3 linked regions of the Pelodiscus sinensis genome follow. The protein of the gene in region 2 interacts with the protein of the main gene of each other region in a pairwise test. Links are inferred from orthologs where the notes say so. Each region holds a gene or a part of one and is shown on either strand. Other genes may lie near its edges. The genes, in order: USP15, MAD1L1 and BAG5.

Region 1 (10,680 bases), on a different chromosome or scaffold from region 2:
TCCGCAGGGGTAAGTTTTGGAACTGGTTCTGTTCAGTGTCTTCATCAGCGATTTAGATATTGGCAGAGAGAGGTTGCAAGTGCTTTGGAGATTAGGGTCATGATTAAAAATGATCTGGACAAACAGGAGAAATGATTGGTGGTAAACAGGATGAAGTTTAATCAGGACAAATGCAAAGTACTGCACTTAGGAAGGAACAATCAGTTTCACACATACAGAATGGGAAGCAAATCTCTAGGAAGGTGTACTGCAGAAAGATCTAAGGGTCATAAAGAACCACAAGCTAAATATGAGTCACCAGTGTGACACTGTTGCCAAAAAAAGCAAATATGATTCTCGGTAGGGATGTTAAGTAGCAATTAATTTGCTCATCAACTAGTCCATAAGCACTTCTGCATTCTGCCTTTGAAATGTACAAGAGACCCAGTGAGGGATCTTGTGCATTTCAAAGGCAGAACGCTGCGTGGAGCACAGGGCCAGCGGGAAGTCCCGCTGACTCCAGGCTCCATGCGGGTGCTTCCACTTTGAAATGCACAAGAGCCCCTTCTGGGGACTCTTGTATATTTCAAAGCTGGCACAGCCTGGGTCTAGCAGGGGAGTCCCCAGATGATCTTGGGCTCCACCCAGCATTTCAAAGCAGCAGCGTGACACAGAGAAGACTGAGAAGGAACATGATAATTTTCAAGTACCAAAAAGGGCAGTATAAGGAGCAGGGAGAAAAAAATTTATCCTTGATCTCTGATAACACAAGCAGCAGCATGGGAAGATTTAGTTATGATATTAGGAAAAGCTTCCTAATTGCCAGAGTGGTTAAACACTGGAATAAATTGCCTAAGGAGGTTGTGAAATCTCCATGATTGGAGTTATTTATGAATAGTTTAGATAGACATCTTTCAGGAATGATCTAGATGGTGTTTGGTTCCGCAGTGAGGGCAGGGGACTGAACTCGATGACCTCTCGAGGTCCCTTCCGAGGTTCTAGTATTCTATGAAATCCACAGTTTGAGAACTGAAAAACTAAGCATCTCTGAGGTTATCTTCTAGATTAGCCCCATTGGGTAAATAGAAAAATTAACCTAAATGATCTATACAGAAGCCTCTGGACCTTATCAGATTGGGTCCCTAATCCATGAACTATTGGAACTCATTTACAAAACTTTCCTTAATTGTTACATATTATAGAATTAGAATTCATAATCCCTATTCCATGAGATAGTTTTAATTAAGGTATGTGTTAGCTCAAAGCTATCTTGGGATATTATTTTCCTCAAAAAGCATTTTATTAAAAAAATGTGAATTAAATAAAAAATATGATTTTTTTATTTTTAAAAAATCACTGATTTTATCCACCCTGCTCTGCCTGCACACAGGCCGAGTACCCTGAACCTGTTGCTGCCCTGCCCTGAACTAAGGCCTGAACCCTAGCTTGAACTCCTTGCACTGCTCCTCACCCGACCCTGAACAAGGTTATGGGCTTACTGACCATTACTCAACCTGTACACAAGCCTGAGCCTGCTGTTTGTGGCCCCACCCTGAGCTAGGCCAAGGGCATACTAACTGGCGCTCAATCTGTGCAGAGGCCCAAGCTGCTCTGATTGACTGCTGTTCTGGGCAGAGGCCCAAGCTGCTCCGATTTACTTCTGTTCAGCTGGAATATAGGCCCCCGGCACCAGGGCCCTCTGAACTAGGGCATCTTGACAGTTGTTCTGCCCAAACATGGGCTGGACTAGCCAAACTGTTGCAGCTCCAGCCTGAAGCAGGACTACTAACTCAGTCTGCTTCCTTGTAGTGAGGCAGCTTGAACTCCCTCCGGAGCCAGACCAGTATACCAACACATTTACCTGTTAAAAAGTTTGTATGTCTCTCTCGCTCTCTCATTCATATAGACTCATAGACTTTAAGGTCAGAGGGGACCATTATGATCATCTAGTCTGACCCCCTGCACAGTACAGGCCACAGAATCTCACCCACCCCTCCTGTGTCACCGAAAACAGGATGTAATCAACTTTTTGCCTTATTTCTGGTACTATGGTGAACACTTGATCTTTTATTCTGAACCCATGCATACTACGTAATGACATACCCTTATCTTTGTTCAGAGCAAATGCATTCCAGGTACCCTCTTGGTTTGTATGGATAATTTCTTTCCTTTCCTCTTGCCCTATATGTCCTATAATTAGTTTTCCTAGGTATTCAAGGAAAGGTTTACTTCAGCATAAATGTATAGGATTTTAACAAGGGTACAGGCCAATCAAGGATGCATAACTGCTATACTACTGCTCAATAATACGTACATTGAAATGCCAAACATATTTATCACATGGGCTACGTCTACACTGGCCCCTTTTCCGAAAGGGGCATGCTAATTTTACAGGTCGTAATAGGGAAATCCGCGGGGGATTTAAATATCCCCCGTGGCATTTAAATAAAAATGTCCGCCACTTTTTTCCGGCTTGTAGAAAAGCCGGAAAAGAGCGTCTACACTGGCCCCGATCCTCCGGAAAAAAGCCCTTTTCCGGAGGCTCTCTTATTCCTACTTTGAAGGATTCCTACTTTGAAGCCCTTTTCCGGAGGATCGGGGCCAGTGTAGACGCTCTTTTCCGGCTTTTCTACAAGCCGGAAAAAAGCGGCAGACATTTTTATTTAAATGCCGCGGGGGATATTTAAATCCCCCGCGGATTTCCCTATAACGACCTGTAAAATTAGCATGCCCCTTTCGGAAAAGGGGCCAGTGTAGACGTAGCCACGTAGTACTATCAGCACATATAGATATGCTAGCCAGAGTAAACCAGTCATTAACCCTGAGCAAAGTAAGTTAGAATAGAAGTTGGCATGCATTTTTTGTCAGCATAACTTTCTTTTGTATGAATGACTACCAAAGTTCTGAATTGTGATATGCTGCTTGCTTCAGACCTACTTTCTTGCTTATAACAATGCTAAAGAAGCTACTACCCAGTCTTATTATGAAATACTATAAAGGTAACCTTGTTTCGTAAAACCTACCAACTTACTATATTACTATTTGAACACTTGATGTCAGTAAGAGGTTCATATCCATTTTTATACTTGCTCTGCCTCTTAAAATAAGCAGTTTTTTTGCAGAAGTTTTACAATCATACTAAATTTCAGACCTAGTGTCTGATATTATATACAGAAGAAAATATAGTTGAACCTCTCTGGTCCAGAGTGATTTTAGTTAGCCAGATGTCCACATATCATGGGTATGGCCAAATTTCCTGCAGTACGTTTATCTCCACTGGTCCCGGCTCTCAATTTTCTGTGCTGTTATTTAGCTCTAATTTACCCCTAAATGTTTTCTAAGAGCCCAGTAAGCAGTGGGAGTGTTGGTATTGCTGCTAGAAAATATTGACTTCCCATGGTTCCACAAATTCTCTGGCTCAGCACTGGTCAGGTCCCAAGAGCGCTGCACTAGATTCAACCTGTACAACCATTTTGACCACACCGTTATACTAATATCTATCAAATACATTTCCATTCCATGCATCTGACAAAGTGGTTTTTACTCACAAAAGCTTATGCACAAATAAATCTGTTAGTTTTTAAGTTGCCACAGGACTTAGTCTGTATCTGCAAAAACAACAACAGTGGCTGCCCCTTTACACTTATCTAAGTCAACAGAATTTTTTGAACATGTTCAAAAGTCGACTTTTGTTAAACTTACTGTTTTATCCTCCTATTCTGCAGCAAGACAATGGCCACTGTTAACAGTATTCAAAATGGAAGAAACTACTGGTTTGAGTGTAATTCCTTGCACTTAAACAAGAAACACTGGTCACAGTGATAATCCCTTTCAAAACAGAACACTATTAATCATCTCTTGTTCCCATAATATATGAACTAGGGGCCACCAAATGAAACTAATGGGCAGCAGGTTTAAAACAAATAAAAGGAAGTTCTACTTCACACACCGCATAGTCAATCTGTGGAACTCCTTGCCTGAGGAGGCTGTGAAGGCTAGGACTATAACAGGGTTTAAAGAGAACTAGATAAATTCATGGAGGTTAAGTCCATAAATGGCTATTAGCCGTATGGGTAAGGAATGGTGTCTCTAGCCTCTATTTGTCAGAGGGTGGAGATGGATGGCAGGAGAGAGATCGCTTGATCATTACCTGTTCGATTCACTCCCTCTAGGACACCTGGCATTAGCCACTGTTGGCAGACAAGGTACTGGGCTGGACAGACCTTTGGTCTGACCCAAACTTATTTCTTATTTTCAGTATTAATATGTTAATTATACTTGGCTCCCTTTTTTCTAGATGCTTCTACTTTTGCAGAGTTTAAAACCAACTTGTTCTTATGCCAAGAAACGAATATCTACTCATCAGCATTTGAATAATGCATCAGAATGTATGTATGGCTCTGACACATGTTCTAGCAGCACCACCATTAAATACCATATCTTACAGAATTAGAACAGCAAGTGGTGACATATTAAGTCAAAATGATGTAGGTGGTCTATTTCTAAGGATCACACTTACTTTTAAGTAAATCTAAATTTGTGACACTTCAGGGCGTGGGTAGGAGTGTGAATGGGAGGGAAGATATTAGTCCTCCTGGAAGTACTAAGAATTTTTCAAGTTATCTTACTCAGGAGACGGTTTCTAGGAACCAGGAATCTGAGAATTCCCTGTAACTGAACACCAAGCAAATAAAAGGAATTACTAGATCTGTTTCATGCTTCATAAGCATGAGGCAGTTTGTATGATCTCCTGTCAATTAAAAAACTGAAACCTAAAGATACAAGACATCTGAACACAAGAACAGATTAAAGTTACAATTAAACAGCACTGTCTGCTAGCACCTTCAGAGGCTTCACGCTATGGAGTGATAAGCTTGACCCGAGGCCTAGCATGACTGGGGGAAAGGTTTTTTGGGATGCTCCGCTTGGCAAATATGAAACCTGTCGCTACCCGAAAGGGCAGGTGGGGCCATTTCCCTGGTTTATGTTTGAATAATGGAACAGGTACCTGCCGGGGGGAAGGGAGGGACCGAGCTCTGCTCATCGCCCCCTTCCCGGCGCCGGCCAAACGCCCGGCAATCCCAGGCCCTTCATTGTCCTGGCCACACGGAACTCCCCCGCATGCCCAGCTGGGCTCGGGCCAGAGCGGCGGGAGCTACCTGCTCCGGGCAGCCGCAGGGCCCTGGCAGCTCGGACCATGCCGAGGCAGACTTCATGGACACAGGAAGAGTCAGCGCCGCTGGCCAACGCGGCCCCGCCCCCACCTTCACCTGCAGCTCGGCCTCAGCCGCTCCCGAGCCCCGCTGTCCCCTGAAGCCGCGGGCGCCACCCCCCGGGGAGGGTGGGTGGGTGCAGGGCCCGGCCCGCCCCGTTACCAGCAGGGAGCCTATCGGCCCCTCTCCACCTCCCACAGCGCAGCGGCCCCAGGGTGGGAACCCGCTCGCCCCAGGGCCCAACGCCGCCCCCCGCCCCTCCCTCACCAGGTGTCGCCCTTGCGCAGGGCGGTTTTAAGCAGCGCCGCGACGTCCGAGCGCTGGGTCTCCAGATCCGCCGCGCCTCCCTCCGCCATCTTCTCCCCCCGGCGGCGGTGGCGGCGGCAGCAGGGGCAGGAGCGGGCCGCGCTGCATGCTGGGAGTGACGCCAACTGGGAGACGCCCTCGCCACCGCAACAGGGAGGCGGAGACAAGAGGGGAGACCGCGCGTGACCTGCGGGCGCGGGGAGCCGCTGCTGCCCTCTGGCGGGCTGGCGGGCTCCGCTCCGCCTGTGGCGGGGTGTGACGGGGGGAGGAGCAGGCGAGAGGGAGCGGGGACGCGCCGCTATCACAGGTCTGGACTCTTCCAAGCCGCGTGCGCCTGGCCCTGCGTCGCGGAGATGCTATGTAACCTTTGTAGTTTATTGGCTTACGTGCTCATTTCGTCTTGCCTCCAGACCCTATCAAATTGCTTCTCCTCTGTCCATCTGCCGCCTATATAATCTACTGTAATGTTTTGCTTAACCAGTGTTCACCAGGTTAACCCCTGGTTGTCACTCCGCCAGCGCTGAGTGTGTAATAAATCCTCTGACTTTTTTTCACCTGCATCCAGAGTGTCCAGAATTATTCCCTACAATGGTCACAATGGACCTGGTTGCCGAGAACAGCTTCCAAGTCTGGAGGAGTTCCTGGTAGAACTCCGGCAGCTCTGAGAGGTCTCGCAGAAGACCCCCTCGGGTGGAGAAAAAAGAGCTGCCAGTCTGGGGCAGGACGGGGAGCGCCACCTGCCAGCGTAAAGTACCCCGCTATCCTGGCAGCAAAGCCCCAGAGCCCAGTGGGGTGAGGCGGTGTCTCTTACTGCATGCTAGTCTGTTGGCATGGAGAGATAGACACGTTTCCTGGGGCAGTCTCAAAATCTCTGGCCAACAAAGGCAGGCGCCTTTTCCAGGCCTGGCAAGTGTCTCTCTCACTGACATCGTGGGTCCAATAAAAGACCTCTCCCCCACATAACCTGGGACTTTCAGGCTATGTCTAAGCTACATCACTCTTTCAAAAGAGGGATGAAAATTAGACAGATACAAATTGCAAATGAAGCCTGGATTTGAATTTCCCGTGCTTCATTTGTATAATGGCGGTAGTCTTTCGAAAAAGGGCTTTTTGAAAGTAAAATCGATGTCTAGATGTGGTTCTTTCAGGGGAAAAAAAACCCTTTTTTGAAAGATCCTGTACTCCTCAAAAAATGAGCCCCATGTTAACCCAAACTGCAACAGCGGGCCGCAAACAAACGGGCCACATGTTGAATAGCCCTGGTATATATGTATATATGCATATGTCTGTCTTTAAATCAATAGTTAATTTACATGCAGCATCTGGAATTACATAAAGATGTATTTCAATATTGTATACACTAGGCATATGGTCTTTACTATTGTATTATATGCTTACTTTTAATTACAGCCTCTCCCAGAGTAATGAACAAGTTACGGGCCAAACACTTGGCCGTAACTCGATCTGTTCATAACTCGGACCCCTTTGAGTTACAAAGCGACCGTAACTCGACCGTTGCAACTCGGGGACTGGCTGTATGTATTCAGTAGTGTAGATTCTACTAAAGACTTGTTCAAACCGGGATACTGTGGATAATTGAGTATACAAGAATAGGTTGTTTGCTGAGGAGAGAACTGCAAAAAATTCAAAGAATAAACAGCAATGAATATACAGAAAGGAAATACACATTTTTGGTCAGCATATCGCAGACCCCACAGAGAATGGGTAGATGATATAGTAGATTGGTGCGGAGCTAGTCTACAGAAACTAAGCCACTCCGCACTAGAGAGGGAAAGATGGAAGGAAATAGGGAGGCATTGGACACCAACAAGTATAGAGCCCATGGTTATTGATGATGATGATGATGATATCATAATCCTAACAAGAAAGATATCTGAACTGTCCTTGGCTGCTGCTGTGGCCCTCCAAATAGCTAGGGTATGTTTTGGTGATTAGATTTTTTTTTAATGATCTATTTAGAGGAATAAATGGGAGAAAGGGCAAGAGCAACTGTTTCAATAAACAGAAATATTGTCTTTGTACATAATAGGAATGTTAGTGTGTACTCATTTACACAATTAACCAATAAGTCTGAGCTCACCAGTTAATCCTAACAGTTACACAAACCCCTCACCTCGCAGCAAGGTGAGGAGAAGCCCATGCCCATGAGGAACTTGCTTTCTGTGAGCACCAGCTGGTGCCTGACCCCCTGCATGTAAATGTGTAACCACTAAAAAATTCAGCAATTACATATTTACAAAAATAAATGTTTTTTATCATCCCTAGTACATAGCTTGTTGCTGGTGGCTATTCTAGAACTAATATAAATGACCTATTCAGCCTAAGCTGAGAAGCATGAGAACTAATGATTGTAACAAGGCTGCACAAAAGTTAATTTTTGTCTTGTAATGGGATCAAGTTGACTGTTGTAATAACACTAAGGGAAGCAATCTCCACCTTCCTGCCTATTGCATGGTTGTACAGTCAGATGGGGTATTTGATCTGCAATGAATAGATCTGGAACTCTGTCTCAGCTGAAGAATTAGGATAACTGAAAATGAAACTGTTTAATATTTAGCTCCTACATGCGAGAAAGAGGTTGTTTTTTTAACAAGTCTATTCTTCAAGAGTTATTGGGGTTATTTTATTTAATACATGTAATACAATGTTTAAAAAATATTTCCATAAATACTTAGCCCTTACGCAGTATTCTGTATCTTCAAATGCTTTATGAATATGAAGTAATCTTCTCTATATATAATTTAGAGTGCATCTTTGTGTGTCTATCTGCAAGTCTTTCTGTTTCTTAAACTTTTTAACACCAAACAATAATTATTTTTATGAGGAACATCAAGGATTTTTTGAGGAAAAAAAAGGTCAGGGGGAAGTTATTGAGGGGAAAAAAAGGTTGGGGGAAAAGTTATTGAGCAAAAAAAAAAGTCACCCACCCCTTTAAGGGCAGCCATTTTGAACTCTGTTATTCTCCACGGCACTACTCCGACTGCCTTGCAACACACCGGTGTGCCACGGAACATAATTTAAGAAACACTGTCCTAAACAGTTAGAGGTAGGGTTACCATATTTGGCATTCAGCTTCCTTTTCTCCTAACTTAAAGCAAGGTCGGGGGTTGGTTGTGCCAGGACAACCGGAAGGCCCAGGAACAGGACTGTTTCCTATAACATGCAAGGGGAGGTCCTGTTTGAAGGGATGCAATACTGAAAGTGGCCACTAGAGGCAGCAAGCCCGCAGGAGAGAGCTATCCTACGGGGGAAGCCATATCACCAAGGGAGTGGCGAGCAGCACTGAGGCTCCACTATCTTGCCTGCAAACACGCCAGGTAACTAGTCCCCCTGCCCCAAACCCTTTGCCCTCCTCCCTGCCTTTGGCCACAGCACCGGAGGAGAGAAAGAGGCTGTTCTCAGCTATGTGGTACTGCTGGGGGGGGGGGGGGGAAGAAAACACCTCTGGGGACCAGGATGGGGGTGCTGGAGGAATAGAAAATGCCCTGGGCAGGCAGGGGAAGGAAGGGGAACAGAAAATGCCCCCAGCGGCCAGAGGAGCACTCGGGGGGAGAGAACAGGCCCATGAATGGTTAACCATATTTGATAAGCATCACCCTTACTGGTTCATGCTTACTGGTTACCGTTAATCAGTGGGCTGGAGCAGTTCCCCGCCTGCAATGGGTAGGTGACTGTTACAGCTATGAGGCACCTTCCACAGTGCAGGCAGGGGCGCTCCAGCCCAGCCAGAGCAGCCTCTGTCCACAATTAGCCCAGCCTCACCAGAGCAGCCCTTGGCCACGGTGGGCTTGGCCTGGCTGGAGCAGTCCCCCAGCCCGTGGCCAGGAGGGGAGCTCCAGCGCAGGCCCCATTTAATCTGTTAAGCAATTAATCAGAACATTTCAATGCTAAACTGATTAACCAGGATATTATGTCCCTATTGTAAAGCTCTTCTCTCAGTAGTTGCATAGGTGCCAGACTCAGAGGGCTATGGCCCAGCTACTTTTTGACCTGCCACAGTCCAGCTTGGGACAGGTGATCCAGTGGCACCATGGCCAGTTTATCACAGGGGAGACCTTCACCTGTACATTGTAGTGAAAGCCAATGGCAGCAGAATGGGGGAAGAAGAGGGGATTGGCTAGGGGAGGAAGCTGAATCAGTCCTATGGGATAGGAACCATTTCAGACTGAGTTCAAGGTGGGCTTCCTCTTCAATCAACAATTCCTAAAGGCCTCATATCCCCCAGAGACTGGACCTGAACCTTCCTACCAGCATGGCCCCCCAACTTTAAATGTTACACTTCAGGCTATGTACGTGCTTGAATTAACTATTTTGAATTTTAAAAAAGAGGGGAAAAAACCCTTCCAGAGCCAAGGGTATCTTAATTATATATTTTTTTTTAAATGTGAGCTGGCTGATTCTATAAAATTTTAGAATGTAGAAACTACTAGTCAAAAATACCAGTTTTAAAATCTGATGTCAGTGTTCCTGGGTACACTGGTCTGTCCTGCCAACTAAATGAGCCTATCTCTGTGATAAATGGCCCCTTATACCAAGAATCAGCAATATTTAGGTTACTCCTGATAGCCAAAGGATTAGTCACATCAGATCAATTGCATTTTGGGTCTCACACCAATAACAATGCTTGTAGCCAATTCTATAGTAAACTCTATGAAGATTTATTAAATAGGAAAAGGAAATTAGAGACTTATGTACAAAGTTAAATCAAGTGAACAGACATATGAATATGTTAGAAACAGAAAGGAGCATAAGCTTCGGCAAGTCCAGTGTAAGAGAATAACTTGGCAGGCCAAAAAAGCATTTGAAGAGAAACTAACAAAAGACATGAAAGCTAATAGCAAAAGAATGTTTAAAGAATTTCAGAAGCAGGAAGCCAATCATGGAGGTCACTGTTATCGAGATGCTAAGGGAGCATTCAAAGAAGCTATCCCATATTGAGGTGTCAGTGTAAGAGGTTTATGGAAAAAAACTTGATAAAATAAACAGTGATAGGTCACCAATACTAGATAATATTCACCCACAAGTTCTAAGGGAACCCGATTTATGAAACTGCAGAACTAGTGACTGTCGTATGTAAACTATTGCTTAAATAAGTCTCAGAACCAGATGGAACAAAGCTGATGTAATACTGATTTTTTAAAAAAGGCTCAAGGCAATCCTG
Region 2 (10,680 bases):
TGACCCCATATCCCAACTCCCTGCCACAGCCCTGAGCCCCTTCCCATACCCCAACCTCATGGCCCCACCCCGTCACACACTGTCCACATGCGGAATGATTTTTGTTATGCGATACATCACTCCCATATTGGTGCACATAACAATAGTCACTCTGAACACGGACATACAAAATTAGAGGGAACACTGTCTAGGTAGTTTTTGTTCCTATCAGCTCTTCCAATTCTCCTGCTTGTTTCCGTTACTACCTTTGTTCCTTCTCATCTTATCAATCTTTTCATTAATTTCTCCTTCTCCCCACTTCATGACTTCTATCCCAATTTTCCCCAAGTTTAGAACACTCTCCCTACTCTTGCACTCCAACTGTCTTTCTCCTCCAAATCCACCTGTCTCAATGCCATCTCATTGTTCATCTCCATATTCACCTTTCCAGAACTGTTACCCTATCTCCTTTCCTGTTTAGACAGTAAGCTCTTTATGGCAGGGGACACATATTAACTGTGATTGTTAATCACTGTGTACACTGTGGTTCTAATTGTGGTAACACAAGTGGATAGTTCTGATTCCATGTGACCCTCATAGTCACCTAGACAACCAGGTGAAATAAAATAAACCATTACGCTCTTACTTCATTAGCTTCAGTTAGCTTGCTCTCCTTCTCCTGCAGGTTCTGGCTCACAGTCTCCATGCTTTTCTTATAAGATGTATTAATCTCCATTTGTTCCTTCAGCTTAGCCTCAGCCTCCACTTCTTTTTCTTGATAGTGCTTTATGCGCGTGAGGAGCTCCTGGTTACGGTCAGCCTCTCGCTAGGCAAGGGAAAATATAAAGGGACTTCATAAAGAAGAAAGGACCACAATGCTGAAGACATCATCCTTTCCTCATTGCCCCCTATAGTCTCACAGGCAACCCTAACAACAAACACTAATCTCTTAAACCCTCCTCCCCCTGGGTACAGCTAGACTGCAAAGATCTAGCAGAAAAAGATACACAAAATGCACTCCGCATTTTGCGTATCTTTTTCCAATACTTTTGTCGGAAGAGGCTTTTCCAAAATTTGGCCCATCTAGACTGGGCCAAATTTCAAGAAAAAACCCTCTTTCGAAAGCTCCTTTCTTCCTTGTGGAACAAGGAATACAGGGGTTTCTGAAAGAGCACAACTGCTCTTCCGCAAAAAAAAAGTGGAAGAGCAAACCCATTCCCTGGACGTAGCGGAGTTTTTTTGGGATACCACTGGTATCCCAGAAAACCCCCTGCAGGCTAGCCATCCCCCCCCCCCCCCCCCAGTAGAAAAGCTAATATCTTACTGGCAGCTTTTCAATGACAAGGGAATGAAACAAAGGGTAATGAAGCCAAAGAATTACTAGACAGCACTTTCTGAAGTGATGTATGAACTTAAAACTCAGAGATGGCTTCATGGTTTGCACAGCATAATTTACATGTGCTCAAACATCAATTACACTTACACAAGTTTATTTCACTGAGTCTGGGACCTTAATATCTGGAGTAACAAAATCCGTTTCTCTTTGAAATTTCTATGTGCATTAGAGTATTTTAAATCTAAATATTTTAATCTTAAATAAGTAACTCTTAAAGACACAGTATAAACCAGTGTTTCTCAACCAGTGGTACGAGTACCCTTAGGGGTACTTGAGAGAAGTCTGGGGAGGTATGTCAACACAACTGAAATGTGGAGAAAACTGAATTTTTGTTTTAAGTTTTACAGTGCTTTAAAATTTCACCGCCCAGCTACGATTAAGTTGTTTAAACAAATGTGTTGCAATGGTAGGAAAAAAAAAGTGTGTCTGAAAACTGTAGGTACTTTATAAAAAAGGGGGGATACTTTATAAACAAAGGTTGAGAAACACTGATATAAATAATCAGTGCAATGAAACCACCAACATATGGGAGTAGATTTAGGAGTTGGCAACTGTGGGAGGGGGAGTGTTCAGCCAGATTATTTTATTGGCATTCTGACAACATTTCACATGCCATTTCAAGTTTGTTTCTCTCTCAAATTGAGTAGCACTTACTGAAAAATATAAATAAATTTCTCTGCTAAATCAAAGCAATTTGGGCCACAGATTTACATGCTAAGCAAGAATTATGCAAGACAACACAAGATTCCTGAAACCTTTATCCACATGACTCATGAAACACTGAATTTGAGCATGGTAATACCACTCTGCTGAGTTAGTGCTGCTCCCTTTTTGTACCAGTATTTTAAGGGTTTCTGAGAGTGACTCAGCTAGATTCAGGTTTGAACCACTCCTGGCTTAATCCCAAGATCACGTGACTTGAAGCAGAACTAGGAATTTACTCAATGACCCACTATTTCACAGCTATAGAATAAATCTATCTTTCAGAATCCTTATAATATTTTGCCAGATTTATTTTTTTATTTATTTTAGCAGATGAATTTTGAAGAGGCACTAAGAGGATGACACAGCCCACAAACTGTGCTGCTTATTTTAGCAACATAACGAAGCAAACACATTTGGGCACACAACCAGAAGGCAACAAAAGCTATTAGTCACAACTAAAGCTCAGCATCTTATCAATGCAGCTTCTCTGTATGACAGTCACATGACTGGTGTTATCATTCCAGTTCATTACAGTCAAACATACTAATTGTTTGCAATTGTGCCAATAAAGTTTAAACACTTCTGAAATAATCAAAGTGTAATGCAATAGACCTGAATCTCCTTTTGTTTTATACTGATGAGCAGAGTGCTAAATAAACAAACTTACAGAGTATCCAGTGGTCAGATCAACATCAGACTATCTGTCAGCCATGCAACAGTTTCAATGATCTCAAGATGCTATGACTGGAGCCTTGGCTGCCAGACAGCACGAATGCTTACCTACCTCATAACTCCTGGCATTAGTATTAGCTGCCTTCTCCAGCTCAATGCGAGCTCTTTTGTGGCTCAGCTCCATCTGCATCTTCTCCCGTTCCACTTGCAAGAGCTGAGATTTGGAATGAATCTGCTCAGCTTGTTCCTCTAACTGATCAGTTTCCACGTGAAGATAGACACAAAAACACACAATCAGCAGAACAGCAATGATACTTTTCATTTTTACAGTGCTCTCCAGATTTGGCTTTCAAATTATTTTACAAACTTTATATATTTAACCCTTCATGTCATAGATGGGCGCAGGTAAGTATTGTCCTACCCATTTAGAAGATGGGAAAACTGAGGACCAAGAGTTAAATGACATGTCCAAGGCCACAAAGTCAATCAGTGACAGCTGAGAATAGACATGTGGGTGAACTTTGAGGTCCAAATTTCCCACACCAATCACTGGAGAAGTTTGCTTCTAGAATACACTTACAACACACAAAACTAAAAAAAGATTCTTATTTCAGATTTCTTTGGCCTTTTCAAAAAAGAAACAGGAGCTAGCCAAGGAACAGAGATCAGGCCCAATACCTACATCTGGGAAACTAAGTGTAGAGCAAAGTACCAGGTCTGACATACATGTTACAACCAAATTTTATTTCTGAGAATGCATTGTGTGTGCAAAATTACTACCAGGACTCCTGTTAATTCCTTCAGTGCTGTGAGGATGCACAGAATACTTTGTCTTTATAACCAGGGCTCGACAAATAATGTAATCTACTTGCGCATGCACAGAGAGCAGAACCGCGCGGCTGGCGAGCCCTGTTTATAACACATTAATACTTCTTCCATGTTAAATCAGAATCCTAAATCAGAACATATTTTCACTGAAGACTTTACAACACAGAAAAAAAAAGACTAAGGACATTCAAATATTATAGTTCAGGGGTGGCCAACCTGTGGCTCCAGAGCCACATGCGGCTCTTCAGAAGTTAATATGCGGCTCCTTGCATAGGTACCAAATCCAGGACTGGAGCTACAGGTGCCAACTTTCCACTGGGCTGGAGGGTGCTCACTGTTCAACCCCCAGCTCTGCCCTAGGCGCTGTCCACCTAGGATCCTGCCACTTCCTACTCTCTCCACTGAGCCTGTCACACTCATGCTTCCCTCCTCCAGTGTCTCCCACTGAGAAAGAGCAGATCACAGTGGGCAGGAGGAAAAGGAGAAGGAGGGACTGACCAGTGGGTGGGATGTGCTGAGAGCGGTGTGGAGATATGATCAGGGCTGTGATATATAAGCAGCTCTTTGGCAATGTGCATTGGTAAATTCTGGCTCCTTCTCAGGTTTAGGCTGGTCACCCCTGTTATAGTCAGAATGTTGAGGGAGTGGAGAAAGGAATGTCAAGCATCCCAGGGGTTAAAGAAACCTCTGGGCTCAGCTAGCCCCACCTCACTTTACCTGCAAGGATGCTAGGCCTAGAAGGAGGAGAAAAGGAAGGAACATGGCTCAGTTTGGAGCTGACTAAAGTGAGGAGGCAGGAGCTTGGTTTGTGGGTCTGAGGGCATGAACCAGATCCTGTCCATCCAGCAGCCATGGGAACAAGTAAGCCCCCACCCCTCTGGGAAAAGGGAGAACATATTGAGAAACTGAAACTGTAAGAAGAATTTGGACTCTTGAATCCATTTCCCAGACTGAAACAGGGAATGGCTTGGGAGTTCCTGGGCCAGAAACACAGTGGTAAGAGGGCCAGCTTCCCTCCCCCTTTTCTGCCCACCTACTCAGCAACCTAGCTAATAGGTTACCAAGTCCCCAGGGACCCAGCCACACAATTTTAAATGCAATGGAAATTTAAATAAAGATACCAAGGCCTTACTTTACACTCAGACACATAATTAGAGATCCATAACAAAGCTACAAAACTCAAAACTTGTGTAAGACATCTTGGACATTGCTAAAGTGTCCATCGCTATAGCATCCATGAAGACTGGTTTAGTAAATTAAAATTTATGCTTCAAAGACTACAATTCTGGTCCAGATTGAGGTCCCCAATAGAATTAATTTGGTGATCTCAATTCAGTCCTCAGAGTCAATATCATAAAAATGCCATGGATAGTTTAGCACACCTAACAGTATGTTTTCAAGAAAGAAATGGACAAGGCAGGAAAAACTGACCATCACCCCGAGCAAACCATCAGTTAAGCTCAGTCATGGGGGCAAGATGAAATCAAAATACAGCTGCCTAAGTTGACCTACAGATAAGTTAAAGGGAGAGAATTGAAGAAAACCAATTGAATACTGACCAGGACAAAGAGTCAGGCCCATAACTTACTTTTTTCTTAAATGAATGGGTTTAAGAGTTTTATTTTGGGAGCAAATTGTCTCCATCATTGGCAATGTTGGGATAGCAATGTAAGAAAGGACAGCCTCTGTTTCTTAACTAAAAAAATTCCCATGCCTGATATCAAAATAAATCTAAATTCTTAACTCCAGGTGTGAATGAACCAGGGATGTCTCACCTGAACCCTCTGCTGGTACTGCATATGCAAGGTACTTGGAAGTGATCCTGGTGCAGCCAGACTAGATGCCCCCTCCACACGCTGTGAAATGAAGTTGTTGAGAGATCGCAAGGCAGAGAACACAGTTGTATTGTCCTCTGAGTTCTCCATGGTGAGCTCTCTGCTGTAAAACACAGACACACAAAGGCAAAAGTGAAACATCCAGGGCAATCTTATTCACCGCTATAACATCAGGTAAGCATACCCCCTTCTTCAAGTCATTCTGAAAAAGCATTTCTCAAATACAGCCACAAGAAGGTTTTTTTAGAATTTATTTTGCATCCACAATAGCTTCTACAGCATAGAAGGGCAAAGCAGAGTATGGGGACAAAAGCAGCAGTTCCTCCTTGCAGCGCCCAATTGTTGCTCCTGGGCAGCAAAATGTGCCGCTTTCATGTTTACACTGGCACTGCCAGTAGGGAGCATTGTCCTGCACAGCACAACCTCCTCAGGGGCTCGAGGAAGTGCCTCTGGAGACACAGTGCATGCAGCTCTTAGTTTCTGGGATGCTCCTCCAGGTAGCTTTCCCACTGCTGCCCAGGAAACCTGGGACACTGCACACAGTTGGTGAGTTCATGACCCACTTTCCCAGATGGCAGAAATAGAGAGACAGGTTTGCCAGGGCAGCCACCAGCAAGAGTTGGTGGCTGCACTCTGAGGTCACCACAAATTTTATTGTGAAAACCCCTGCTCGAGTCCACATTCTTCTCATATACATTGGGCCCTGCCAAATTCATGGGTGTGAAAAACTGCAACACAGACTATGAAATTTGACTATCGTAGGGGTGTCATGATATTGCCACACTTACTTCTGCCCTGCCTTCAGAGTAATGGCTGCTAGGCGGGCATCCAGTTCTAAAGGCAGTGTTGCCACTAGCAGCAGTTAAGAATTAAGAGTGGTATGGTATGGAGGTCACCACCATAAGAACATAAGAACATAAGAACGGACGTACTGGGTCAGACCAAAGGTCCATCTAGCCCAGTATCCTGTCTGCCAACAGTGGCCAGCACCAGGTGCCCCAGAGAGGGTGGACCGAAGACTATGATCAAGCGATTTGTCTCCTGCCATCCCTCTCCAGCCTCTGACAACAGAGGCCAAGGACACCATTTTATCCCCTGGCTAATAGCCTTTTATGGACCTATCCTCCATGAAATTATCTAGCTTCTCTTTAAACTCTATTATAGTCCTAGCCTTCACAGCCTCCTCTGGCAAGGAGTTCCACAGGTTGACAACACGCTGTGTGAAGAAGAACTTTCTTTTATTAGTTTTAAACCTGCTCCCCATTAATTTCATTTGGTGTCCTCTAGTTCTTCTATTTAGGGAACTAATAAATAACTTTTCTTTATCGGCCCTCTCCACACCGCTCATGATTTTATATACCTCTATCATATCCCCCCCTCAGTCTCCTCTTTTCTAAACTGAAAAGTCCCAGTCGCTTTAACCTCTCCTCATATTTCCCTCTAATACTTCACATCCCTCAGCAGAATGAATTTTGTTATGTGCACCAATCTGGAAGCGATGTGTCCACCCCTCCCCAGGACATGGCAGATTGGAGACCGGGTTAAATTGGGGCAGGGCTGTTCCCCTGAGGGATGAGGTTCTGTGCCCGAGGTGAAGGGGCAGGACCCTGTACAGATGCCCACGTGAGGCAGGGCCCTGCCTTGCTGCCCCAGGTGGGTACAGTATTGGGTGGATGGGGCCCTGCGCTGCTCCCCGGGAGAAGAGGGGGAATTCCACAGGGGGCCGTGTCCTGCTGCCGCCCCAGGGGAGAGTCGCTGGGGGTGTCTGGTGAGGCTCAGCGCCAGCGAGGGGGACCCTACGGTGCTGCTGCTCCCCTGGGATCCCACCTGGCTGCCCCGGCTGGGGAGGGTCAGTGTTGGGGGCGGGACCCTCTGCTGCTGCCCCCCCCCCAGGAGTCAGTGTGAGGGAGGGGCCCTGCCGCGCTGCCCCAGAGGGAACAGGGGGAGGGGCGCTGCCTGAGGGGGGGTCAGGGTCAGAGCGCGGGACCCCGACGGGAGGGGGGGGTGTCAGGGCGGGAAGACGCCTGTGCTGCCACGGAACTGCAGGGCGGAGCCGAGCCAATCCGATTACCGCCCGGGGCGCGAGACAGCGCGCGGGTCTCTCGCACTCACCCACAGCAGCCGGCTCCCCGCCTCCTGCTTGGATCTCCCTCCTCGTCCTGCCCCGAGATCTCACGAGAACTCGAACCCAGCTCCCGCGAGACGAACCTTCCCGCCCCGCCTCCTCCCCCCCGACGCACACACTTTACCGTAATATTCGGGTTATACGTGCGTCCAGGGGTAGCTCCGTGGTCCTCTTACCGCTAGGCGCATGCACAAAGTTCCTATTTCCCCAGTGTGGTAGAGTAAAAACTGACGGTGCCATGGCAACGCTGTATCTGGGAGGATGATTTTGTGATTCAGACCCTGGAGTAGGAGTTGAGACACCGGGTTCCAGTTTCAACTCTGCCAGAGCAAGTCTGTCTGACCAGCTTGCTCAGGCTGTGGTTGTTCAGTATAGGGACGAGTCGACTGTCCCATAAGCAAATGCTTATCCAATAGTTGACAGGATAGTTGACTAGTTGATTCCTCCCCTTGCTGTCTCTATGAGGTAGAGGTAGCAAGGGGGAAAGAAGAGGAAGCACTTCAAAGCAGCAGTGCTGCTTGAAGCCGGGGGGCCAGACCCTGGACTCCATGCAGCACTGCCGCTTTGAAAAGCCACGTGCAATTGGGGGCCATCTGGAATGTCCCCAGGCTGCATGTGGCATTTTAAAGTGGCAACACCACATGGAGCCCGGGATCAGCTGGGGACTCCCCAGCTGACCCCCAGTTCTGTGTAGTGCTGCCACTTTGAAATGCCATGGGAAGCCCAGCATTGGGCTGCACGCAGATTTTCAAAGCAGTTAACTGACCCCACGCTCTGCAGCGCTGCCGCTTTGCAACACTGCAGAGAGTCTGATACCCCGGCATCTGGATTTCTTTTTGGGCTTCTAAGCTCTAGTGCAATATAAATGTTTACAAAGTAGTGATTCTAATAAGAGACACATCCTTTACAGAAAGGACATGAGGGCACACTGCCAGTGACCATCCCTTCTCCAACAAGGCGGGAGGCACCATACTAGAAGTTATGTTGTCAACATACAGGAGAGTGAGTAACCCACCCAATCCATCCAGATCTTCACAACTCCTGACCATAGTGACAACAATGCCTACATGCCACTTATTGCACTGTGCAGTTTCCTCTATTGGATTGAACCAGGGCACTTGCAGATTTTCTTCACCTGCCACTTCTTCACAGACAGAAATATCAGGAGGGACTCCTAGGATGATACACACCACAGGCTGCACCTACGGGCAGCCAGACCTGATCACATATTCTCTACTAAGCTTTCAAAGCAAAGTGCTACCACAGACTAACAACTTCAGTAGCAAATATAACTGTGTCTACATTGGATTTGAAGTCAGTGACCAGCATTACTGCTGTCAGGAGTAGGCAAATATGCTCAAGGTTCACTATGGGCAGTGGAAAACAAAAAAGCCTAAAGGGAATGAAGAACCTTTTTAAGCTCCTGGTGCTGTCCCTCTGTAAGCAGATAAAGAATTTATGAATTCTCACTTCCATTTTCTTTCCTCGGGCTTGGTATGCAATTGCACCTTTGCCCCTTCTGACTAGAACTGATGAATATGAAGGTGGGAAACTCAGCAATTCACTAAAGAATTAACTAAAAAAAAGAATTAAGGATGCCCACTGCTAGCTTGAGCCACACTAGAGAGAGGGTGTAGTTTAATCAAACCATGTGTTTAAGCAAAAGTCCAAAATACATTACAGTAACTAAAATATATACCTTGTAAACTTCCTTGCAATGCTAAACTGGGATTCCCAGTTACGCTTCCACTGTGTGTACAAGTGATTCTGACCAGCTCTCTCCTGATGCTGCATGAGAGAGTCTCCAGCACTTTGCTTTCGTTGGGGTTCAGTAGCCTAGAATTCTAATTTCAGAAAAAGTCCTGCTCAGCTCAGATAGAAGCATACCAGATGAAAACAGTCTTCGGGGAATTTAGCTACCAAGCTCTAACAGGGCTCAACTCAGCACATGCAAAAACTGATTTTTCAGAGGCTTGTTGAGCTGGTTAAATGTGGTTGGATTGTCATGCGGACAACAAAAGGCATATCCATGACAAGAAAGCTACTCTTCTTATAAGCTTCAAGACCTTGCTCCAAAGCCTGAGCACAACAGATCTTCTCAAAGAATAAGTCACCCAACATTTTTAAGACAGGCAAACATGCATTTTCCTAGCCTCTCTCTTAGAAACAGTTTAACCACTTCAGCCTAAGGCAGATAGTTGGCATGGAAATTTTCAGCCCATATAGTTATTTGGCACAATGTGCTAATAAATTGCACTTTTAGGAAAAATTCAGAAGTAAAACTGAATGATAGCTGCCTTCTCTTCAGTATCATGACAGCTGCGTTGCATTTAGTTCAAAGTATAACTATGATCACAAAGTAGAAATCTGAAACACACACATGTACACAAATCTTTAAGTAGTGTTTTATTTTTATTCCCATCCCCCACGGGCAGGTTTTATACATAAGAATGGCCATACTGGGTCAGACCAAAGGTCCACCTAGCCCAACATCCTCTCTGCTGACAGTGGCCAATGCCATGTGCCCCAAAGAGAATGAAAAGAACAGAATCGTCAAGTGATCCATTTCCTGTTGCCCATTTCAAGCTTCTGACAAACAGAGGCTACAGCACAGGCAGTTGGTGAAGGTAGGGCTGGGGGAGGCAAGCCCTCAGCCCCATCCCCAGCCTCGCACCTTCGGCTGAGGTCCTTCACATCCATAGGAGCCAAGCCACCTCCTCACAGCCCCACCATGGGGAAGCAGGGCAGCATGCTGTGCGCGCCTACCACCACCACAGGGAAGAAGACAGTGGGTGCGCACTGTTGTGTAAAACCTCCGCCCAAGCTGGTATAATGTGGATGTAAGACATGTAATTTTCTGTTATTGTAAGTCAGGTAACTTTGTTATTTTAAGTCGTCAGCTTCAGCCATTGCAAGTCCCAAAACTTTCTATTGTACGCCATGTAACTCTCAACTATTCTAAGTTATATCAGTTTCTATTGCAAGCCATGTAATTTTCAAGTAATGTTTCAAGTTCTGCAACCTCTTTGCAAGCTTTGTAACTTCCAGCTATTGCTTATATAATCTTTAAGCTCTGTAACATTCTATCCTGTGACAAGGGAGTGCATGGATATGTGTAAGTGGTAAGAGAGTGTAAATAG
Region 3 (10,680 bases), on a different chromosome or scaffold from region 2:
AGCCTATTTCAAAATCAGTTATTTTGAAATAATAACTATTTCAAAATAAGCTTATTCTTCTTCACAAGCAGGAGTTATTTCAAAATAATAAGCCCATTATTTTGAAATAACAGGCTTGGTAATGTGGATGTTCATCTAATAATTTTGAAATAAGAGGAGTTATTTCAGAATAACTCCCGCGTGTAGACATGCCCTTAGAGATCAGTGAAGAATACTGTATACTATCTTAAAATTATGCTAAACTGTTAGTTGCCTTGGTATCTTATGCAATGAGCTTTACAGATTAAATTTTTGTTGCTTTCAAAGTCATTGGATGATCTTTTGACTTCATTTTCTTTAATTAGTGACTGATTTACCTTCCTTACTACTCATTTGTATTCCTTTATGATGTCCCCTTCACTAAACTAACATTCTTCTCTATCAAGTGCCTCTTCCTACAGAGAGGTCTTTCTACACGAATAGAAATTTTCATTGCCCATCTCCGAACCTCCTTTTCTCTACAGGTGGGATTTGGGTGGGTTTTTTGAGAGAATAATTAAAACTGAACATTTTATTTTGGGTGGATGCATACCATTAAAATATACAATGGTTATTTCAGTATTATTTAAACATATCATACTATTTTTAAAAACCACAATTTTATGCTTGACTGGTTTTTATTGAGTTTTTCACTCTTCAGACATAAGGATCACTGTGATGGTTTTGTACAAGGTAATACTAGATTATACAATCATAAGAGAACCAAAATAAGAGACTCCATGAACAGGTTGGCACTGAATAAAATGAAAATTAAAAATTATTTTATTATTTTATGTGCAGTCTGGGTAATACAGCAGATTGAAGAAGATTTAACAGGGAGATGAATGAATCCCACAGTTTGAACTTTAAAATGTAATTTCTTTACTGATGCTTTTTAGGAAAATAAAAAATAAGAAACTTTCCTCTATATGTTTAAGAAAAAATCTGAGCTTTCTGTCAGGGAAATATCAGTTATCGTATATTCTGATAATTAGCATTCTTAAATTTATGAAAAAAGGCAATAGAATAGAACATTAAAGTCAACAGTGAGTACAAGGCAACAAAGCATTTTATTAATAATTAAGGATATAATAAAACATTTAACTTTGAATTTGTACCTATGTAATTTAATGAATATAGATAAATGTGGATATACACACTTTAAAGAAGATTCACATACAATAATTAATTACAAACTTTTCCATTAAGCATACTTAAAAAAACCAAATTCCACTAAATTGGAAAGAAGGGGGAAAATGGTTGTGGGTTGCCACAAAATCGAGACTAAGCTACTTCAAATCAAACTTGCTTATAAATTAATAAGTATCATGATTTACAACTTTCTCAAGACATCACACACATACACCCCCATTCATTTCTTTGAAAACATGTAATAGTACCCCACCCACAAAAATCTGTATATTCCACTTAATAAAAATATAGGTGTTGGATGAGTTGGTCCTTTTACACCTTGGTGGATAGTTAATTGTCAGAAAGCAGGTGTGTTTCTCTGTCATCATGTATACAACACAAAAATTACATTCTTCAGCACAGAAACAGGATTCCGTAAAATCCATGTACCAAACTTTTTTTGGTTTAGCTTATGTAGTTTACTGTTCATGCAGAAACTGCTTACAAATACTGCACCGATTAGGAACTCCACAACTTTTAAATGCTGCACATTTACCTCATGAGCAGAAGATGATTAAAGCTAAAAGCCAAGTTAACACAGTATGTTGGTATGGGAATCTACTGAGTTAATCATTATTCAACCACTCTGATGCATTTTCCTTTTTAGAGATTCAGTCTTTCACAAAAGCTAAGATAAGCAAATCTTAAATGGAAAGAAATATAAAGTATCTTATTTACCTTTACAGAAAAAAATCAGAAATGCTAAAAAGTTTCACATGACCTACAGAGGAATATGAATATTTTGATTTTTTTTTTTAAAACAAGGGCTGTACATCTAACAATTGAAGAGACCCGACAGTAACAATTATCATAGGAGTTAAATATAATAAACATTATCCAACTGTTACATGTCACATATTACAAATGCATATTAGAAATTATATCTACAATTAAAGTACTTCCCAGAGTTTTAAATTACCTTTATAAATATGAACAAAATAATTCAGATGTGTAATACCATTAGTAATTTGTGTTAGCCAATAAAATAGGAAATGCAAAAATAGACTGAAATTACAGTTCAACTCAGATGTGATTTAAAGAAAAAGAGAAGCAGTGTGGGTACTAGTAAGGCCCTGCATTAATTGAAACAAACAAGGAGAAGTATCCAAATAATGCATCATCAGTATTGGGCTATGACATATTGACTATAGTTAATTAAAGAAATCATTGATAAATGATTTGCAAAGAAGTCAACAGAACAAAAAAAAAATCAGTTAATCAAAATAAATCACTTTGAAAGTATATAGCTCTTTTCATCTAGAGATTTCAAAGCACTTTATAAAAAGGTAAGTAAACATTATTATCCCCTTCTTACAATCTGAGGTGTGGCTGTCTTGTCCAAAGTCACTAAGCAAATCATTGTGTGGGGTTGGGAACAAAATCTGAACTTCCTGAGTGAAAGTCCCACTTTCAAATCTCTAGTCATAACTGACTCCTAAAATATCACTTTATTTAATTTGATGTGTATTATAGCTGAATAGTAAATAGAAAAATCCAGTTGGTAGAGATAACTAAATGCAGCATGCTGCCATTAGACAAAGAGTTCCTTTATATGTAACAATATAATTTTAGGGTGTCAGTAAAAGGCACTTATCTCACAAAAATATTTTCTCTAATGTGTATTAATATATATCCAATATTTATTGTAGTCAGTGTAATATCTGAAATTTACACTTGTTAAAACGTTGCAAATAAATAACCCTCTACAAAGCAATAACTCTAACATGAAAGGAGCTCTGTGGGAAACAACACATTTTGGACCCATTATTCCATTTAGAGCAGCATTCTGTGTAATACCAAAATATGATAGCGTAGAATTATGATACTGGCAACTAAATTCCTATATCCACAAAGAAGAGGAAAGCGCATGCAGAAATATGATCTGGTTTACTTAACAAGCTGCAGGGCTAACCTAACTGCTACTGAGTTGAAAGAAAAGACAACAAGCAAGCCTTTTCTGAGTCTTATGTTTGAGATTACATGGCCAGTGTGAAATGTAACATACATTACGAACAATTTGTGATGAACTGTATTTACATGGTTAAATCAGAAATACCCATTGACTTAAGTCATTTTAAAGTGATTTTCATTCTCACTGGTTGTTTTAGAAGACTCATCAAATCCAGATCCAAAAACTGAGTTATATTATAGCTAAATGGCAAATAAAGATAGTTCAATGCAGTTTTCAGGGATTTATGGATGGCAGTATAAAGAAAAAAATCTCTCATTTATCTAATCAATATCTGTCTTTCAAGTCTCATAGCTACCTTCCAATAAGAGGACAGTCTGAACTTGAGGGATTCTTTCCTAGATGCCCAGTGCCACAAGAAAATGGACACAACCAAGTCATTCTATATTACAATACTGCTACATTATAAAACTAAAAACACATTAAGGTGAAATGGATGGAACCAAATCAAAAACAAATGAAAAGCCAACCTTTTATATTTAATCTTTTGATTAGAACAATACATTATAAATATGTCAATGCTGGTGTAAAGCTGATGGATCTAACCTTGCATTTGGCCAATAATCTTAAATTTCCAGTCTTCTTTTCATTGTTTTTCTAGTACTGTATCTTAAGTAAATTCCTGCATCTTTGAGAAACATGCTTTTTTGAAGAAAAACCAAACAGTTTGACCAAATATTACAGATTCTGATACTTATGCAATTCCTCAAGAAAACCATCTCTCTCACATAACATAGTGACCAAAATGGAAAAAACGGTGTACTGACAATTGTCATGGCAAGTGGGCAAAAATGTGGGATAGCTGCCATATATTCAAGCCAACTATTTACATCATCTCCACAATTCGAGCGAATATAAAAACACAACTTTTAATCATGTGCTGTTCATGGGAGCTATCAGTCTACATAAAGTGCAAAAAAGGAAAGCAACACCTTACATGAGGCCACTATTTTCCTAGTACTCCCATTCATCTGTTTTCATGTCTAGATAGTAAAGAATATTCTGTGCAAGCTTTACTGCCTGCTTTCTGGCAACTTTAGACCGTTCATCTCCTTGTGGATCAACAGCATCAAGTGTCAGAAGTTGCTTAGTGAGGAGCTCTTCTAGTCTCATATAGTTCTTATCAGTTCGGTTTCCATCAAAAGACAGCACTTCCCTCTGAATCTGAGACAAATGTTCAAGAACACTCCAGACTGCCTTATGGGAGTGGTGTTCTACAACAGTTTGTTCACCATACAATTTCCTTTTTTCAAGTGCTTCTTTTAAATCAATGTATGTTATAAGAGTTTGCACTTCTATCACTGCTCTTCTCCTGGCTTCTCTGATGCATGGGTTCTTTCCTGGACTCACTTCATCCAAGTGGGCAATTAAACCTTGAAGTTCTGCCTTGGATCCCAAGAACAGATCAGAAGCATTTTCTGCTCTGAAAATTAAAGAATGAACTTCTTTCATTTTTTTGCGGATCTCTTCTATTTTTAGAATGGATTGATTTTGTGCCAAGTCATAAGCATGAGCAGAGTCTGCTTCCTCTTCCAAATCCAGGTATTTCTGTAATTTATTAATCTCTTCCACCACTTCCTTTCTGTAATTTCTTATTTCTGTGTGGCCACAAACATCCAACGCATCCAAATCAGCAACCAGACCAGTAAGCACACAGGATAAATGCCTGCAAGTCTCATTATTATTTACTCCCATTAAGACTGCAATAAGAGTACCCCTCGCTTTGTTTACATCACACATAATAGAGTTAATTTTTGAGACTGAAGGATGTGCATCACTGGAGAGTGGCAAGGAAGGTTGCTGTTTTATACAGTTTTCTATAATCTCTTGAATTGCACACACTTTTGTCAGAGTGCGGTATCTTGCTTTCCGTAGCGAGATTTTTCCTCCAGTTTTCACTTGAGTAAGTCTCAATACAATATCCTGAATACCCTCTTCAAATTCATCAGTTATACAGTTGCCACCTTTATAAAAAGGTGTGATTTCACGTTCCACCAATGACTGAGCTTCCTTATATATGGCCTCTATTTCCAGTCTGTGTGGATGGTTTGCATTCTGCTCCAATTCTTTGAGTAGTCTTTCTGTTTCCTGGGCTGCTCGTTTTCTGGCTTGCTGAATATCCCCTTTTCCTTCAGTATCTACAGAATCTATTTCAAAAAGTTGTTTAGTCAGAGTCCTCTCCAGTTTCTTGTAATCCCTGTCAGAAGACAGGCCACTGAAAATCACCACCTGCTGTTCAATATCTCTGACTTCTTTCTGTATTTCTTGAAGCCTTTTGATGGAAGGGTGTTGGTTACCCATATCCATTATCTTATTTCCTCCAGTTTCAAATGAGCTGTAAAGGAGGCAAGAATGACTGATAAATTTTTAAACAAATATTTCATAATTCCAACAACTTTTATAAAGCCTCATGACACTAAAATATTTAATAAATTAACTTGACTTAAAGGTACAGAGAATGTACGAGAAAGTTAAAAAGAGTGACGCACTTAACTTCAAACCATACAGTATGTCACTGTTCTTTTGTACATCTCTCTCTAATGATGTCTGCAAGCTCCTATTAAATGATATACACTTGAACTTACACAGCTAGAAGTTTTTATTCACTCTCAGAGCTATAATGTTTACAATCAATGCAGAAAAATGGGTTATTTCAATAATGAAGAAAATTAAGGAGGCAACCTCCAATTCTTAATTTAGTGCAAGATTCCCCCCCAACTGGTAAATACTCCCCTCTCAATCACTTGCATTACTCAAAATAGGGATTATAACACTGCTGAGGCAACTAATGTTGTCAACACTTTGTGCCCATATCTATGTACCCTCAGCAAATCTAACCAGCCTTCTCCCCCATCCAGCATCCTTTGTCTGTCTACACCACCTGGCACCCTTCTCCCACATTAAACTACCCCTAAACACTTCTGCACCTCATCCAGGGCCCTTCATCCACACCCCTCGGCCCTTCACTAATCTCTCTCACGTTCCCCTCTTCGCCTTTCATCGCTTTTTTCAGCCCATTTGAGGCCCCCTCTTCCTTCCACCACCACCTGCCTGTCCTCAAGCAGCGACCACAACCATCCCCAGTACCGCGGCCCCTGCATACGATAGAGATGCGGAGTTGGCCCTGAGGTCTCCAGCCCCCACCGCAGCATGAAGGACGGCGCCTACCCTAGCCAGCAGCCTTGGAGGAAGACAATCCCCTGGAGCAGGCCCCGATCCCCCCCGGAGCCCGGGCTCGCTACATCCCTGCAGGAGGAGCCTGGATCCGCCGGGCCGCGCCACCAGCAGGGGATGACTTCACAATGGGGGCGTCCCGGGGGAACGGAGAGCGCGTGCCGGAGCCCGGGGGCGGCACCGAGCGGGGGCCTCAGGCGGCTGAGAGCGTCTCCTTTATCGCAGAGCCCCGCCCCCCCGCGGAGACCCCCCCCGCCTCCCCTCCCCCGTCCTCCATATCCCCAGGGCCCCGGCACCCAGGCCCTCTTCCCCGCCAACTCCCCATCATCAGCTGCCCCCACTCTCCAGGCAGCCAACCCCCCCGCCCCCCAACCAGCTCAGCTTCCCTCCGAGCCCCCGCCCCTCACCTGGCCCGACAGGCGCTGTTCTCCCCCCGTCCCCGACAGAACTTGGGTCCCCCCGGCGGGCCCCTCCAACCGGCCTGTACCGCGGGCCAAACGGCGGCTATCCCGAGCCCGGGAACCCCAGCCCGCCCTCACCCGGCGGGGGCCGCAGAGGGAAGAGCGCGGCGGGTGACCGGAGCTGCGCAGCCAAGAGACTGAGCCGCTCTCCCGGGTTCCCGGAGGCCGCAGCTTGCGCCGCCTGCCGCACCTCAGGGAGAAGTTTCGGGCGGCCCTCCCTTTGCGACATGGCCGTAAAGCCGCCGCCAGCGGGGAGGCGGGTGAGGCGCGATGGCGGGCGCAGCGCCTCGAGTGGGGCGTTGGTGGCTCGGCTCGCGCCGCGGCTTCTCCCGAGCAGGGGGCGGCGCGGGGCGCCTGGCCGCTGAGGGGCCCGTGCGCGGCCACAAGCCGGAGAGCCCGGTAAACAGGCGGAGGGTGCGGGGCAGGCTTCCCTGAGGCCGGGGCTGCGGTGGTTAGCGCTGGGAACTCGAGGTCCTGCCCCGTGTTTTGGGGCAGGGAGAGCCCGCCCCGCCTGGGCTGCGTTGAGGTCCAGTGGGCGCCGAGTTGCGGGGATCCCAATGGGCAGAGCGGGCGGACAAACCTCTAGCTCTTTTTCAGGAGGGCGGCCTCCCCCTTTGCCTCTGGCGTCATGCAATTGGCCCTGGGGACCCGCGGGGAGCCCCATTGTCCATCATGTTGGGTACAGGTTTGGGGCTCTCCTGGGTGCAAGCTGGGGACTGGGCATTAGTACAACCCACATGCCTGCTGGGTGTGGTTCGCTGGTGTAGTGACACTTAGACTACTTACAGAGAGAATAATGAGTTTCCTCTATTAAGGATATGTGACTAGTTGTTTCTCTCCCCCTGCCCTCTATCAGAGAGAGGCAGAAAAGGGGGGGGGGAGCAGGAGCTGGTGCTGGGGAGAGCCATCTTAAAAGCTGATCTCCCCCCCCCCCCCCCAGCACCATCTGGAGAGGGGAGGAGGGGAGGCAAAGGTGCAGCAAGGAAACTCTGCAAGCAGGGACTGCTGCTGATGGTCCTGACTGCTCCATCTTTGAAATGTACAAGAGCCCTAGGCACTCTTGTACATTTCAAAGGCAGCTGTGTAGCAGGATAGGGAGTGCCTGACTAATGGAGCAGTGGATGGAAATTCTATCAACTGACTTTTCTGTGGGTCAGTGGCCCTCAACCCAAAAAAAGGTTCCCCTCCCCTTTTGAGATTCCTGTAGTAAGCTCCACAAGTCCCATGTTTGGTTCTGTCACTGTTACATTAGGACTCATATGCTTTGTTCCCTTTTCTGGTTGGCAGTGAATCTACCAGACACTTAGAGCCTGGACTCCTGGGCTGCATCTAGACTGACAAGTTTTTCTGCTTTTGCGGAAAAATTTGCCAGCTGTCTATACTGGCTGCTTGAATTTCCGCAAGAACACTGACGATCTCATGTAAGGTTCAGTGTTCTTGCGGAAATACAATGCTGCTCCCATTCAGGCAAAAGCCCTCTTGCGCAAATGCTTTTGCGCAAGAGGGCCCATGTAGACAACGCAGTATTGTTTAGCGCAAAAAAGCCCCAATGGCGAAAATAGCGATCGGGGCTTTCTTGCGCAAAACTGCGTCTAGATTGGCACAGACGCTTTTCCGCAAAAAGTGCTTTTGCGGAAAAGCGTCCGTGCCAATCTAGACACTCTTTTCTCCAAATGCTTTTAACAGAAAAACTTTTCCGTTAAAAGCATTTGCGGAAAATCATGCCAGTCTAGACATAGCCCTGGATTCTTTTCCTGGTTCTGAGGAGGAGATGTTGGGGGGACAGAGCTGGAGCCAGGAATCTAGGGCTATATTTTCCCTGGGTTATCATGTCTCCCTGTATTACCTGGGCTTCTCTCTGTCAGCATCTCATTAACTCATGATAGGATTTTACTTGAATTTCCTGTTAAATTGTTTGAATAGGTTTTGTTAGAAAAATGTTAATAGCCTGTAGTTGACCATTTTCCAAGGGTCACAAGGAAGTCTCATTAAATCTCATTTCCAGCTCTTTATTTCTATGTGGTTCTTTATTAGCAAATAAATTAATGCGTTGCTTGGGAAACATTAAGGTCTGGTGGAACCAGCAATCAATTTGGAATCAGACCTGGTAGACTCTTAATACATTTAAAAAGGAGAAGCACAGTGAGGGAAGGGGGGGGCAGTGTGAGCCAGGAATAAGCTTTGCCAGCTTGGGTGGAGGGGTCTACTGTTGTGCATCAGCCTTTTAAATGTATTAAGAACCTCCTGGCTCTTAATACATTTAAAAGGCTGTGTACAGCACTGGGGACTCAGGGCGAGTCAGGACAGCTGGGCTCATGCCAGTCCCCACAGTCCTTCTGCCCCCCATGGAGACCAAGTGCTGAGGGGAACCAGCTTTTAAGCCAGCTCCCCACAGCACTGGCTCTTGCTGCCTCTAATAGAGGAGGAGGGTCTAGTTGCTTATATCCCTAACAGGGGTGGCTTAGATAATGATTAGTCTTGCCTCATGTAAAGGATTGGATTAAATAACTTCTTTATTTCCCTTCCTGCCCTATGTTTCTATGATTCTGTTAAAATATACAAAGTAAATATCCTTAAATTGAGCTGTAGTAAGTTCTCAAGCAACATTTTTCTTCCTTTGGATATTTATAAAATTCATTATTGATGGAAATATTTTTTAATTGGTGTGTGTGTATATGTTGAAAGTGATGTTTACTGACATTACCACCAAAGATCCAGTCCTTCCAAGCCTATTTATATTGTAATCCAACTCTAGACAATTACTACATTATCACACAAATAGAGGCTAGAGTTTGAGAATCTTTATACAAGCTGAATTTCCTCAGAATATTAGAATTAGGAAAAAAAAAGTTCTAAATGTTGATTTGACAAGACCCTAGGTTTAGAATTTTTTTTCTAAACGCAGTCCAGGGATTACCTATTCATTCCTTTCTTTAAAGATAGAACATCAGATTAGGGACTCAGTCTAAGTATTTATACATCTACTTAACTTTATGCATTGTGTGTTGTCCCCATGTAGCAACCACATATGATTGCTAGTTCACCTGCCTATGAGCTATAGCTAAGATTTATAAATGCAGAAATAAAAATGTGGTGTTTAATAACTTTGTTCCTTTTAAAGTTTAAAAATGCTGCTGGTGGTAGTAGTAGCAGACAGTAATTTATAGTGTGATATGCCTTGTCTTTTATGTGAGAATGGTTTATGTACTTCAGAATGCTTTTTTGACATAAATATCACCCAGGTGCTGTAGATTGAGGAACTTGCAATACAGAGAAGATAGGTTACTTGTCCAAAATAAAAAAAGTGAATTATTAACAGTTAGTAGCCTGGAGTTCTCCTTACCCCACTGGTTAATACTTCTTTTGTGTACTCTTACAAGCATACACAAGCAAAGAATAAATTACAAAGACACCAGCAAATGAAAATATATATGAGGCTCATCCTGTACACAAGTCTCCTATGCTGCCATCAAATGCATGAATACACCAGTCTGTCCAGGACATGAAGTGAAAGTGTGATCTAATGGTTTCTTTGTGTGTCCCAAAGTCACTTGTACCTCTCTGACAGATTGCGCGCTCTCTCTCTCTCTCTCTCTCTCTAGATATATACACACACACACACACACACACGGCTTGACAAATCACACTCACACACACACACACACGGCTTGACAAATCACTGAATCTATCGTCACAGGCGAGTAGATTTCAGCCGGTCGCCCCGTTCACCAGCAGCACATGCATGCGCAGTGCGGGGCTGGCAAGTAGGTTTCGCTGCCGTTTGTCAAGCCGTGTGTGTGTGTGTGTGTGTGTGTGTGTGTGTATATATATATAAATTAGTGGTGTAAAGTTAAATCAAAATAGCTT

Evidence for each region.
Region 1: the proteins of MAD1L1 (region 2) and USP15 interact in binary tests that used the Homo sapiens proteins (3 or more experiments, as listed by UniProt). The two-hybrid records come from large-scale screens. The link is inferred for Pelodiscus sinensis from reciprocal best matches to the Homo sapiens genes MAD1L1 and USP15.
Region 3: the proteins of MAD1L1 (region 2) and BAG5 interact in binary tests that used the Homo sapiens proteins (3 or more experiments, as listed by UniProt). The two-hybrid records come from large-scale screens. The link is inferred for Pelodiscus sinensis from reciprocal best matches to the Homo sapiens genes MAD1L1 and BAG5.

What each region holds. Positions count from the first base shown.
Region 1 is NC_134711.1:59,322,597-59,333,276, reverse strand, and holds the start of USP15 (ubiquitin carboxyl-terminal hydrolase 15), read right to left. Parts: upstream 5,627-10,680; 5' UTR 5,549-5,626; coding exon 5,460-5,548; intron 4,368-5,459; exon of another isoform or gene 4,277-4,367; intron 1-4,276. UniProt on the Homo sapiens protein: Hydrolase that removes conjugated ubiquitin from target proteins and regulates various pathways such as the TGF-beta receptor signaling, NF-kappa-B and RNF41/NRDP1-PRKN pathways.
Region 2 is NC_134726.1:28,510,870-28,521,549, forward strand, and holds the start of MAD1L1 (mitotic spindle assembly checkpoint protein MAD1), read right to left. Parts: upstream 7,618-10,680; 5' UTR 7,528-7,617; intron 5,519-7,527; 5' UTR 5,506-5,518; coding exon 5,356-5,505; intron 3,006-5,355; coding exon 2,865-3,005; intron 806-2,864; coding exon 626-805; intron 1-625. UniProt on the Homo sapiens protein: Component of the spindle-assembly checkpoint that prevents the onset of anaphase until all chromosomes are properly aligned at the metaphase plate.
Region 3 is NC_134714.1:20,288,625-20,299,304, reverse strand, and holds BAG5 (BAG family molecular chaperone regulator 5), read right to left. Parts: upstream 7,418-10,680; 5' UTR 7,394-7,417; intron 7,213-7,393; coding exon of another isoform or gene 7,084-7,212; exon of another isoform or gene 7,074-7,083; coding exon of another isoform or gene 7,041-7,073; exon of another isoform or gene 6,760-7,040; intron 6,582-6,759; exon of another isoform or gene 6,347-6,581; intron 5,514-6,346; 5' UTR 5,486-5,513; coding exon 4,133-5,485; 3' UTR 1,070-4,132; downstream 1-1,069. Other genes in the region: COA8 (cytochrome c oxidase assembly factor 8), read left to right, coding at 7,084-7,212. UniProt on the Homo sapiens protein: Co-chaperone for HSP/HSP70 proteins. It functions as a nucleotide-exchange factor promoting the release of ADP from HSP70, thereby activating HSP70-mediated protein refolding.